Linked DNA regions of Macaca fascicularis. The main gene of each other region encodes a partner of the protein of the gene in region 3 in a complex. Links are inferred from orthologs where the notes say so. Each region holds a gene or a part of one and is shown on either strand. Other genes may lie near its edges. The genes, in order: HUS1, RHNO1 and RAD9A.

The links.
Region 1: the proteins of RAD9A (region 3) and HUS1 are in contact, whole or in part, in a crystal structure (PDB 3GGR), measured with the Homo sapiens proteins. The link is inferred for Macaca fascicularis from reciprocal best matches to the Homo sapiens genes RAD9A and HUS1. Residues at the interface, in NP_004575.1 of Homo sapiens: Leu157, Pro158, Pro161, Val176, Ala186, Lys191, Ala192, Met193, Val194, Thr195, Glu196, Met197, Cys198, Leu199, Gly200, Asp203; in NP_004498.1 of Homo sapiens: Thr84, Asn87, Arg90, Ala91, Lys93, Thr94, Phe110, Ser121, Ser123, Ser126, Arg127, Ile128, Val129, Thr130, His131, Asp132, Ile133, Pro134, Ile135.
Region 2: the proteins of RAD9A (region 3) and RHNO1 are in contact, whole or in part, in a crystal structure (PDB 8WU8), measured with the Homo sapiens proteins. The link is inferred for Macaca fascicularis from reciprocal best matches to the Homo sapiens genes RAD9A and RHNO1. Residues at the interface, in NP_004575.1 of Homo sapiens: Val41, Ser44, Arg45, Ser46, Ala47, Tyr48, Glu130, Leu132, Gln133, Ala134, Val135, Glu165, Tyr181, Glu183, Thr216, Phe217, Cys218, Gly244, Pro246, Val261, Leu262, Ala263, Thr264, Leu265, Ser266; in NP_001239428.1 of Homo sapiens: Thr88, Lys90, Phe91, Pro92, His93, Leu94, Thr95, Phe96, Glu97, Ser98.

Annotation. Positions count from the first base shown.
Region 1 is NC_088377.1:82,497,504-82,501,247, forward strand, and holds the start of HUS1 (checkpoint protein HUS1), read left to right. Parts: upstream 1-1,267; 5' UTR 1,268-1,318; coding exon 1,319-1,370; intron 1,371-1,416; exon of another isoform or gene 1,417-1,912; intron 1,913-2,035; coding exon 2,036-2,163; intron 2,164-2,255; coding exon 2,256-2,432; intron 2,433-3,744. UniProt on the Homo sapiens protein: Component of the 9-1-1 cell-cycle checkpoint response complex that plays a major role in DNA repair. The 9-1-1 complex is recruited to DNA lesion upon damage by the RAD17-replication factor C (RFC) clamp loader complex.
Region 2 is NC_088385.1:3,748,153-3,751,896, reverse strand, and holds the start of RHNO1 (RAD9, HUS1, RAD1-interacting nuclear orphan protein 1), read right to left. Parts: upstream 2,320-3,744; 5' UTR 2,246-2,319; intron 1-2,245. UniProt on the Homo sapiens protein: Involved in microhomology-mediated end-joining (MMEJ) DNA repair by promoting recruitment of polymerase theta (POLQ) to DNA damage sites during mitosis.
Region 3 is NC_088388.1:7,055,866-7,059,609, reverse strand, and holds the start of RAD9A (cell cycle checkpoint control protein RAD9A), read left to right. Parts: upstream 1-1,233; 5' UTR 1,234-1,283; exon of another isoform or gene 1,284-1,563; intron 1,564-3,744. UniProt on the Homo sapiens protein: Component of the 9-1-1 cell-cycle checkpoint response complex that plays a major role in DNA repair. The 9-1-1 complex is recruited to DNA lesion upon damage by the RAD17-replication factor C (RFC) clamp loader complex.

The DNA.
Region 1 (3,744 bases), on a different chromosome or scaffold from region 3:
GAGAATCCCTTGAACCCAGGAAGTGGAGGTTGCAGAGGTCCGAGATCACGCCATTGCACTCCAGCCTGGGTAACAGAGCCAGACTCCGTCTCAAAATCATCATCATCATCATCATCATCATCATCATCATCATCTGCATTGTCTTGATTCTATATGTCAAGTTAAAGACAACGGTCTAGGCTCCTATTTGCAGAGGGCATTAAAAATAACAATTAACATAGATAATCTTTAGTCTTTGAAAAACCAAATTAGATACAATTGTTGCTTCATTTCCCCCTCTAAAATTTCTTTCCTTTTGGGCCGGACGCGGTGGCTCAAGCCTGTAATCCCAGCACTTTGGGAGGCCGAGACGGGTGGATCACGAGGTCAGGAAATCGAGACCATCCTGGTGAACACAGTGAAACCCCGTCTCTACTAAAACTACAAAAAACTAGCCGGGCGAGGTGGCGGGCGCCTGTAGTCCCAGCTACTCGGGAGGCTGAGGCAGGAGAATGGAGTGAACCCGGGAGGCGGAGCTTGCAGTGAGCGGAGATCCGGCCACTGCACTCCAGCCTGGGCGATAGAGCGAGACTCCGTCTCAAAAAAAAAAAAAAAATTTCTTTCCTTTTAAAAAAACCTAATGACATTATTTATGCTAATAAGAATTTTATCGGATGTAATAAAGTTCATCTTGAGGCAAACTGCAGAATTACCACTTAACGTCAGTGTTCTTTAAGCATCCCGTCTTTACCAACTAGCCAGTAATATGTTAAATTTTTTAAAAAGTCATTTAAAACAGTTTTCAGAACCTTAATCAACCAAGATGCTTCAATACCAAAGTACCGGTACCGTCATCGGAGGCTAGAGGGTTTAAAGCTGCTCTACCTTAGAGAGGTATATTTAAGATAATATTGTTTAACCTTTATAAACGACTAATTTTATTTGGATATTTTTAAATAGCACTTGGAGTAGGTGTCACAAAATTCTTTCAAAACGTGAATTCTCAGAACCACCTCCCCAAATCTGGGGCTTGAAGCCACCGCCTCACTAAAAGCAGATCCCACATTACCCCGGAGCGCCGAGGCATACCCGGAGACTGGGACCCCACCTCCTCGGGGCGTGACCTGTGATCCTTGACCCGTGACCCCACCTTCTCTGGGGCGTGACCCCTGGCCCCACCACCCCAGGGGCGTGGCCCGGAGGCAATCCTGGCAAGAGCCGGGTAGCCCGAGCCGGGCGGAACCACTGTGCGCGCCGCCGTGTTTCCGGGCCGGGACACTCAGGGCGCGACACTTATCTGTTACCCACAGAGGCCGTCGCGGCTGCGGCAGGCGCGGCCATGAGGTTTCGGGCTAAGATCGTGGACGGGGCCTGTCTGAACCACTTCACACGTGAGCAGGGAGGCCGGAGGGGAGCGAGGGAGGAACGGAAGGAAGCAGTGAGCGCGCGGTGGGGACCGCGGAGGAAGATCAGAGCGGGGATGGGCGGTGGAAGGGGCAGCGAGATGGGCCGCGGGAGGGGCCGCGGGAGGATGGGGCAGGCATAGGGGTGCTGGTGGAGGCCGCGGGATGATGGGCCGGGAGTGCGCGGGTCGGATCGTAGGGCACTTGGGGTGAAGGCGGCTTTCAAGGGACGTTTCTGAAACTTGATTCCGATCACGCGGCTTTAAAAGCAAGCGGCCACTGCTCCCACAGACGGCTTTATCAGGCATTGACATTCCTTCAAGGCCCCATTCGTCCCTCCACCCTGACAGTGCCTAACCTTGCATTGAACTCTGTACTGCGGTACCCAGTAGTCAATAAGTTCGTGTTAAATGAATGAATGACTAGTAGGTGCCTGTTTTTTTATTTGAGCACTGATGATGTATGCTGTACATCTCCCCGGGTTTGTTGGGAGAATTGCGTGACATCATACTTTCCAGTGTGATACCAATGTAAGTGGTTATTTTTCCACCGAGAAGTTGCACCATGATGAACAAGAAATTCTGTAAAATAAGTTGGTCTCTAGGATACATGATGTGCGTTTTAGTGATTCCTTATTTTAACCCCTGCTTTAGGAATCAGTAACATGATAGCCAAGCTTGCCAAAACCTGCACCCTCCGCATCAGCCCTGATAAGCTTAACTTCATCCTTTGTGACAAGCTGGCTAATGGAGGAGTGAGCATGTGGTGTGAGCTGGAACAGGTGAGCAAAAACTTCTGAGAGGCCTGCAATCTGCAGATTGTCTCTGGAAAGACCACAAGTGCCCTGCCTCATCCCCCATGTTTTTCCCTTAGGAGAACTTCTTCAACGAATTTCAAATGGAGGGTGTCTCTGCAGAAAACAATGAGATTTATTTAGAGCTAACATCGGAAAACTTATCTCGAGCCTTGAAAACTGCCCAGAATGCCAGAGCCTTGAAAATCAAACTGACTAATAAACACTTTCCCTGCCTCACAGTCTCCGTGGAGCTGGTGAGTAGGAGAGTCAGGGTTTCAGAAATTTCCCACAGAAGTCTTGGCTTCGAAGGAATAGACATAGTTAGCCTAGCCTCTTTAGCAATAAATATTGTTGAAAGCTATTTGGTTTATTTAAATTTAAAGAGCTGGTCCATAACTATATTTTGCATTAGAGTCAGTTCCTCCTCATTTTAAAATAGTGTTGTTATCCTATGCATTCGGCTAGACTGCTGCTTTTTCCAAGCCATAAAACTTCCAGCCTCTCTATTTCTTGTAGTGGTATTGTCACCTTGTCTAGAAATCATGGTTTCTATGCATTTTCACCGTTGACACATTTTCTCCCCACTCCTACCCTGCCTCATCTGCTCTGATAACCTTTAAATGGCCCCTCATTGTTCAGTACACATATGTTTTATATGCTACTGCCAGATGAATTTAGTGCACAGCTGTCCTCCAAACACACAAATACACAACCTCATGCGCACACATACAACCCAGAGTTGCTCTTGTTACTCATGGAATGAGGTTCGTATTTCCTTTTTTTTTCCGAGACTGAGTCTCTCTCTTGTCACCCAGGCTGGAGTGCAGTGGTGCGATCTCGGCTCACTGCAACCTCCGCCTCCCAGGTTCAAGTGATTTTCATGCCTCAGCCTCCCAAGCAGCTGGGATTACAGGCGCCCACCACCACACCCGGCTAATTTTTGTATTTTTTTAGTAGAGTTGGGGTTTCACCATGTTGGCCAGGCTGGTCTTGAACTCCTGACCTCAAGTGATCCACCTACCTCGTCCTCTCAAAGGCCTCCCAAAGTGCTGCGATTATAGGCATGAACCACCGCGCCCGACCCAACTTTTCTTCATAACTCTCGACTCTGCAGTCAGGCAGTTCTTAGAGCTAATTAGGGTATTTCATGTCACAACATAAGTTTGGTATGTTTTTCCTATTAAGGAAAAGCAAGATAGTAACGTATAATATTTTAGGTCCAAAAGTGCAAGATATTTTGTTCTGCGAGTCTCATAGAAGCCCCTAGAAGTAAATATAGTTTGCCTTTTAACTGTTTAGAAACTGCAGCCCCCTGAGTGTCCTATGCCCAAAGAGTGGCCTTCTCTTGGTTGCATCAACATAGCAGGCTTGCTTCTTTCTGCCTCATGGCTTTACATGTGCTGTTTCCCCAGCCTGAAACCCTGTCCCCTTGTTCCTGTCTTCCCACGGCTGCTGCTTTTGGTGGTATCTGAAATGTCACCTCGTCAGTCTAAGGAAACTCCCCCACACTCACTCTGGTCACTGTGGTTTGCTTTCTCACGACTCTAATGAGCATGTCATGCAATT
Region 2 (3,744 bases), on a different chromosome or scaffold from region 3:
GGGAAATTAGCTGGGTGTAGTGACGTGTGCCTGTAGCCCCAGCCATTCAGGAGGCTGAGATGGAAGGATCACCTGAGCCCAGGAGGTTGAGGTTGTAGTGAGCCAAGGTCATGCCACTGAACTTCAGCCTGGGGGACAAAGTAAGACCCTGTCTCTAAAAAATAAAAAGATTAGTAAAAATAAATATATAAATTGTTTTTGAAAAAAAAACTGAACTCATTCTGAGCATTGCTTTGTAGTAAAAAAACAAAAACTGAATTCATGATCATTCCCTTGACAACCCCACCCCCACCTCTTGGCCAAAGTGATTATCTTCCAGGGCCCTTGGTCAGGGAATGGTGTCATTATTCCTTCAGCTATGCAGCCAAAAATCTTGACACTTCTATTTCCCATCCAACCCACCATCAAGCCCTGTCAACTTTACCTCTTAAACATGTTTTCGTAATGCCCCTTTTTCACGCTGTCTCCTTCTTTTTCTTCTCTCTCTCCCCGCCACCATTTTTCAAGCTCCAGCAGTTCTTGCCTGGAGTACTGCAATATCCAACTGTTCCGCCCTAATCCACTCTAGCAAACCCCGCTATAGACTGACCTTTTAAAATGCAAATCTGACCTGGGTTCACTTCTGCTTAAAGCTTATGATTGGCTTCCTTTAATTCTTGGATAAGCACAAAACTTCTCTGTATGGCTAAGGCCCCGCTTCCCCTGGCTCCAGCTTCAACTCACACCACACTCCATTCAGGTCAATTAGCTCAAACTCTTCAGATATTCCCTAGCCTTTGTACTCACTGTGCTTCCTCCTGCCATCCAGCCTTTGCACGCCTGATTCCCTCTGCTTAGCGCGGCTCCCTCCTTTCTTTGTAAAAGGCATCAGATCTCACACCAAGCTCTCATTAGAAAAGCCTTTCCTGTCCTACCTCTCAAGATCTTATTGTAAATACTCAAAGTATCATTAACCCCTCATGTTTCACTTTACAGCAATAATGCCACATTTGTTTGTTCGTTTTGAAGACGGTGTCTTCCTCTGTCACCCAGGCTGGAGTGCAGTGGTGTGATCACGGCTCACCATAGCCTCCACCTCTCGGCCTCAGGTCATCCTTCCACCTCAGCCTCCAGAGTAGCTGAGACTACAGGCATGCACCACCACGCGCGGCTAATTTTTAGTAGAGAAGTGGTTTCGCTATGTTGGCCAGGCTGGTCTCGAACTCGTGACCTCAAATGATCCACCCGCCTCGGCCTCCTAAAGTGCTGGGATTACAGGCGTAAGCCACTATGCCCAGCCCACATTTGTTTATTTGATTCTTTTATTTTATTTTATTTTATTTTATTTTTTTAGAGACAGAGTCTCACTTTGTTGCCCAGGCTGGAGAGTGCAGCGGTGCAGTCTTGGCTCACTGCAACCTCCGCCTCCCAGGTTCCAGTAATTCTCCTGCCTCAGCCTCCCAAGTAACTGGGACTACAGGCATGTGCCGCCATGCCCGGCTAATTTTTTTTGTTATTAGTAGTAGAGATGGGGTTTCACCATGTTCGCCAGGTTGGTCTCGAACTCCTGACCTCAGGTAATCCGCCCGCCTCGGCCTCCCGGAGTGCTGGGATTACAGGCGTGAGCCACCGCGCCGGGACTATTTGATTCTTTTAAAATATCAGTGCCCCTTTTCCACGATTGGACTGTGAGCCCGGGGGAAGGAAAGAACCTTGTCTGCCATTGTATCTTCAGGACCTGGCGGGACCTGGCACAGAGCAGGTGCTCAACTAGACTGGTTGACTAAGTAAATAAAGAAAGCACCACCGTCTACCATAGCCGAAGGCTTGGCTTTGGGAGGAGCCAAAGACAGGTCAGTACTTGAAGATTTCGCGCAGAGGTAGGGTTCGTGGGGCCGACATTTTTTTCAAGATGGAAGAAAGCTGAGATAATACACAGCCCTCAAAGAACCCTCAGTCTAATCGGGGGGAGCAGACGATCGTTCACTGTACGAAAACGGGGTACGATTTTCCCCAGGAAGGAAATCAACCGAAGCCGACCTTGGAAGAGGGGAGCAGAGCAGCCCGAGGGGAAGCGGGGGCGTGTCGCCCGGCGTGACTATGGCGGCAGGGAAAGCGGACCCAGGGACCCGGGCCTGTCGCGCCGCTTCCGCACGTCCCCAGACTGTCCCTCCGCTCGCCCACCCACGCGGCGGGGACCCCTCCGGCCCCTCCCAGGCCCCACGGCCACTTCTTCCCCCGCAAGCCGGCCCGCGGCCCGCCTTACCAGCCCGGGCCGGACTGGGCCGCAGCTCCTGTCAGATCGCACAGCCTTCGAGCCCGGAACGCCGAGACAAGGCCGGCGCCGATTGGCGACGTTCCGTCACGTGACCTTAACGCTCCGCCGGCGCCAATTTCAAACAGCGGAACAAACTGAAAGCTCCGGTGCCAGACCCCACCCCCGGCCCCGGCCAGGGACCCCCTCCCCTCCCGGGATCCCCCGGGGTTCCCACCCGGCCCGCACCGCCGGGGACCCGGCCGGTCCGGCGCGAGCCCCCGTCCGGGGGCCCTGGCTCGGCCCGCAGGTTGGAGGAGCCCGGAGCCCGCCTTCGGAGCCACGGCCCAACGGCGGCGGCGACTGCAGTCTGGAGGTGAGCGGGATACAGGAATGGAGTCCCGGGCCTGGCCTGGGCACAGGCGGGGAGCGAGGCCTCCGGGCGCGGAGGTCAGGGCGTCTGGCAGCAGGGCACGGGCCACGAGTGGAGGTTTGGGCCACACGGGAAGAATCTGAGCCCGGGTGCAAATGTTTTCTGCATCCAACCTCCTGGCCGGGGCCGTCTCATTACTTAAAGCGCCCCTTGGCCTTCCCTGGAAGTCTGACCTCTGCACGCTGCCCACGGCCTCGGGAGGGCTGGGGTGGCCTTTCTTAGGCCGGCTGCGGCTGAGATGAACACTGAGCACAATTGTACTACGTTGAGTCAAAGACCAACCTGCACACATACTCCCCTGCTCCCAGGCTCTCACCACTAGGCAGCACTGCCTCCGTCTTACCCATTTGCAGGGCCCTTCTCCTGGGTCCTGAGAATGTAGCAAGATTTCCCCGCTCAGGATGGAGATGGCTCAGAGGACCACTCTGGAAGTTTCCCGGGCAAGAAAGTGTTGGCAATAATAATATCAGGCTGGTCAGAAAGTAGAAGAAAAAATTAAGACCTAGATATCCTGTGGAAAAAGAGGAATAATATCTACTGATCGATGCGGGGAGAGAGGGAAGCCTGGAAAGATCTGAAGTGAAAGTAAAACTGGCCGGGCGCGGTGGCTCACGCCTGTAATCCCAGCACTTTGGGAGGCCGAGACGGGCGGATCACGAGGTCAGGAGATCGAGACCATCCTGGCTAACACGGTGAAACCCCGTCTCTACTAAAAAATACAAAAAACTAGCCGGGCGAGGTGGCGGGCGCCTGTAGTCCCAGCTACTCGGGAGGCTGAGGCAGGAGAATGGCGTGAACCCGGGAGGCGGAGCTTGCAGTGAGCTGAGATCCGGCCACTGTACTCCAGCCTGGGCGACAGAGCGAGACTCCGTCTCAAAAAAAAAAAAAAAAAAAAAAAAAAAAGAAAGTAAAACTGAGATTTGGAGGTAGAGGTGTGGCGGGCCTGTGAACTCTGCAGATGACAAATGTCAAAAAATTACAGTTGCTTTTCAGGGAGAGAATAAGTGTCCTAAAAAAGAGACAGCCAATTCCTCTGTCTCCCAAAGTTCCATGAAATAGAATTATACAATTTTGCTTA
Region 3 (3,744 bases):
TAGAATTCTTGAAGCAAAGGCTTTCTTTCCAAGAAAGTGCACCAATTTATAGTGAATGGCAATGCCTGTGTCCTTAACGGACTACCCAGCCTACACATCAATGTCATCATCTTGCAACACTCCCAGAGGGAGAAAGGGCAGGCATTATGATTACCACCGTTTTTAAGCAATTAATTAATTAATTACTTTTTTGAGACAGAGTCCCACTCTGTGGCCCAGACTGGAGTGCAGCGGCACGATCTTGGCTCACTGCAACTTCCGCCTGCCTCCTAGGTTCAAGTGATTCTCATGTCTCACCCTCCTGAGTAGCTGGGATCACAGGCATGTGCCACGACGCCGGCTAATTTTTGTATTTTTAGTAGAGGACGGGGGTCTCACCATGTTGGCCAGGCTGATCTCGAACTCCTGACCTCCGCTGCTCCACCCCCTTCGGTCTCCCAAAGTGCTGGGATTACAGGCGTGAGCCGCCGCACCCGGCCCAATACCATCGTTTTCTAGAAATGAGTAAACTGAGGCTCAGAGAAGTAACTACTTAGTCTAACAGAGCCGGAATCAGATCCTGGGTTTCTAGATTCTGATTCCAAGAGCCTAACTCGGCAGTGGGGAAGGTGGCTCCTGGGCAGTCAACTGACTGCACAGTTCCGCCCAAGGCGGGACCTGGATCTAGAAGTGCTCGGAGCTCGCGGGTGGGAGGATCAGGATGACTGCTGCTCCCGGAGCCAGCTTTCAACTCCCACCCCGCACAGGAGCCTCAGCAGCGCGAGGCGTCGCCCAGACCAGACCTGGAACCCTTGCAGCACGACCGCGGCGCGCTTCCCTCCGGATCCAGCTCCCACCGTCAGAGCGTCCTCCCTCCGCCGCGCCCCGCTCAGCCCAGGCTGGGGCGGGGCCTCGGAAGCGGTCGCCCTCGCCCCGGACAGGGCGGTCCCTCGTTAGGCCAAGTTTTCAAACGGCAAAATCAACCACGCGGAAGAGACTCTGCCTTCTCTTCACTCCGCATCCCAAACGCCTCAGAGAAACTGCCTTTCAGACTTTCGCGGCCTCTCCTGTGCCCGCAGCGCCCGGGAGCTGGGGACCCGGGTTAGCCACATCGACCGCAACGTTCGCGCGCCACCTTGTGTCCGTTCCTTTAGCTTCCAGGGACAACCCGGAAACCACATTTCCCAGCGTGCCTAGCGCCTCTGCGCAGGCGCAAATAGTTTCCCTCGTTGCCATGGGAACCTCGCCCCTTCTAGAGTCCCGGCCGCTTGACTCAGCGAGGCGCGGTGTGGTTTTTTCCTGAGGTACTCTGGGGCTGGGACCCGGTCTGCAGAAGGTCCAGGGGGCGGCGTAGGGGGATTGAGGAGAGGAGACCAAGCCGGCCTTGCCTCCGGGACCAGCGCTTCCAAATAATCTGGGGCGTCCCGGCGTGCACACGCTCCTGAGGCCTTGCCGTTCTGAGGAAAGGGGCTGGCGAGGCGACCAGGGTCCGCGATGCCGGGGTCCGGCTGTGGCCCGCGAAGGCCCGCTCGCCCGCGCCGGCGTCTTGTCACCGCGAGCCGAGGGCCTTTGCGCGGCCGACAGGTACTCCCGGGAGCTGGCAGCCCACGGGGAGGGTTCGCGGCTCAGGTGAACGCGGAGGTAGAATCAGACAGGGCGGTGAGTGCGCCCGGGGCTGGATCTGGCTCAGCCGCTGGTGGATTCGGAACCCGGGAGGCCCCCAGGCCCTGTGGGCTTCGGTTCCCCCGCTCTGTAAAATGAGGCTTGGACTGGAATTCTAGTGCCCATTGCGATTCCGTTGCAGAGCCGTCCCTGGCTCTGTGTGACCTACGAGTTCCTTCTTCTGTAAAATAAGGAGGCTGAAACGGATGATCCCTAACGTCTCTTCCGACGGTGCAGTATGTTACACACTGCTGGCTCCATTGCCCCTTATTGCACCCCAAGTGCAAGAAGAAAGAAAGGAACCTGGGATGATCTGAGCAAGACTCTCAGCTTGGGATCTAGAGTCAGAGAAACTTGGGTTTGTGACTTTGGACAAACTTATTACATCTCTTGAGACTCAGCTGCTTCATTTGCAAGATTGGGGATAATGTTAATACTACCTCCGGTTTTTGAGGATTAAATGAGATGACACATGTAAGTTTTTAGCCCAGGGACTGCATAGAGGAAGTGCTATCCCAGGTCCCAGCTATCGTTTCTGACAATTTCTACAACAGTCCCTAGCCACCATAAGACCTTTTCTTAATTTTTGAATTCACTTTATTTCTGGGCAAGTTCATTCTCCTAGGAAGGACGGTTTTTTGTTTTTTGGTTTTTGTTCGTTTGTTTGTTTTGAAACAGTGTCTCACTGTCACCCAGGCTGGAGTGCAGTGGTGTGATCTCTGCTCACCCCACCCTCCTCCTCCTGGGTTCAAGCGATTATCGTGCCTCAGCCTCCTGAGTAACTGGGACTACAGGCGTGTGCCATTACTCCCGGATAATTTTTGTATTTTTTGGTAGAGATGGGGTTTCTCCCCATGTTGGCCAGGCTGGTCTCAAACTCCTGGTCTCAAACTCCTGGCCTCAAGAGATCTGCCCACCTCGGCCTCCCAAAGTGTTGGGATTACAGGCGTGAGCCACCACACCTGGCTAGGCAGGATGGTTTTGAGGCTGATTTTGATGGGGAAACCTGAGTCTTTTTACCCAAGGTTGGATGCTCAAGGCCAGTGTATTGCCTCCATTCAGCTGTAGGCTGAATTATAGCGTTACCACACAGCATTTAGGGAGGATGCAGGCTTAATGCCACATAGCAGGGTAGACACTTAAGGTTCATAGAGGATATGAGTACTTACATGTTATGATGCAAAAGCAGCTGAATATAGAATTATGTATTTACATAAGACTGGTTACTTTCATGGTTGTAAGGAATGCATAAGAATTCTATGCTGCTTGCATTGAGTTCAAGCTTTGTGTTAATTGAGAAAATTGTAACAAGGAGTTTTAAATTAATGAAAAAAGTATATATTTTAAAAATCTGGGAACATCCAATAATTTCACAAACAAGCCTTCATTCGTCCAACAAACATCTTGTCTCACTTTATCTTCCAGGCTGGAGGGCAGTGGTATGATCTCGGCTCACTGCACCCTCTGCCTCCTGGGTTCAAGCGATTCTTCTGCCTCAGCCTCTCAAGTAGCTGAAATTACAGGCACACACCACCATGCCTGGCTAATTTTTGTATTTTTAGGAGAGGTGGGGTTTCACCATGTTGACCAGGCTGGTCTTGAACTCCTGACCTCAGGTGATCTGCCCACCTCAGCCTCCCAAAATGCTGGGATTGGCCGGGCACGGTGGCTCAAGCCTGTAATCCCAGCACTTTGGGAGGCTGAGACGGGCGGATCACAAGGTCAGGAGATCAAGGCCATCCTGGCTAACACAGTGAAACCTCTTGTCTCTACTAAAAAATACAAAAAAAAACTAGCCGGGTGTGGTGGTGGGCACCTGTAGTCCCAGCTACTCGGGAGGCTGAGGCACGAGAATGGCGTGAACCCAGGAGGCGGAGCTTGCAATGAGCTGAGATCGCTCCACTGCACTCCAGCCTGGGCGACGGAGTGAGACTCCGTCTCAAAAAAAAAAAAAAAAAAAAAAAATGCTGGGATTACAGGTGTGAGCCACCGTGCTTGGCTTTCCATGAATATTTTTTGAGCACCTACTGTGTACATGGAACTGTGCAGGGTGCTCTGAGGGATATGAAGATGTAAAAGACACTTTCTCTGCTCTCAGGAAAT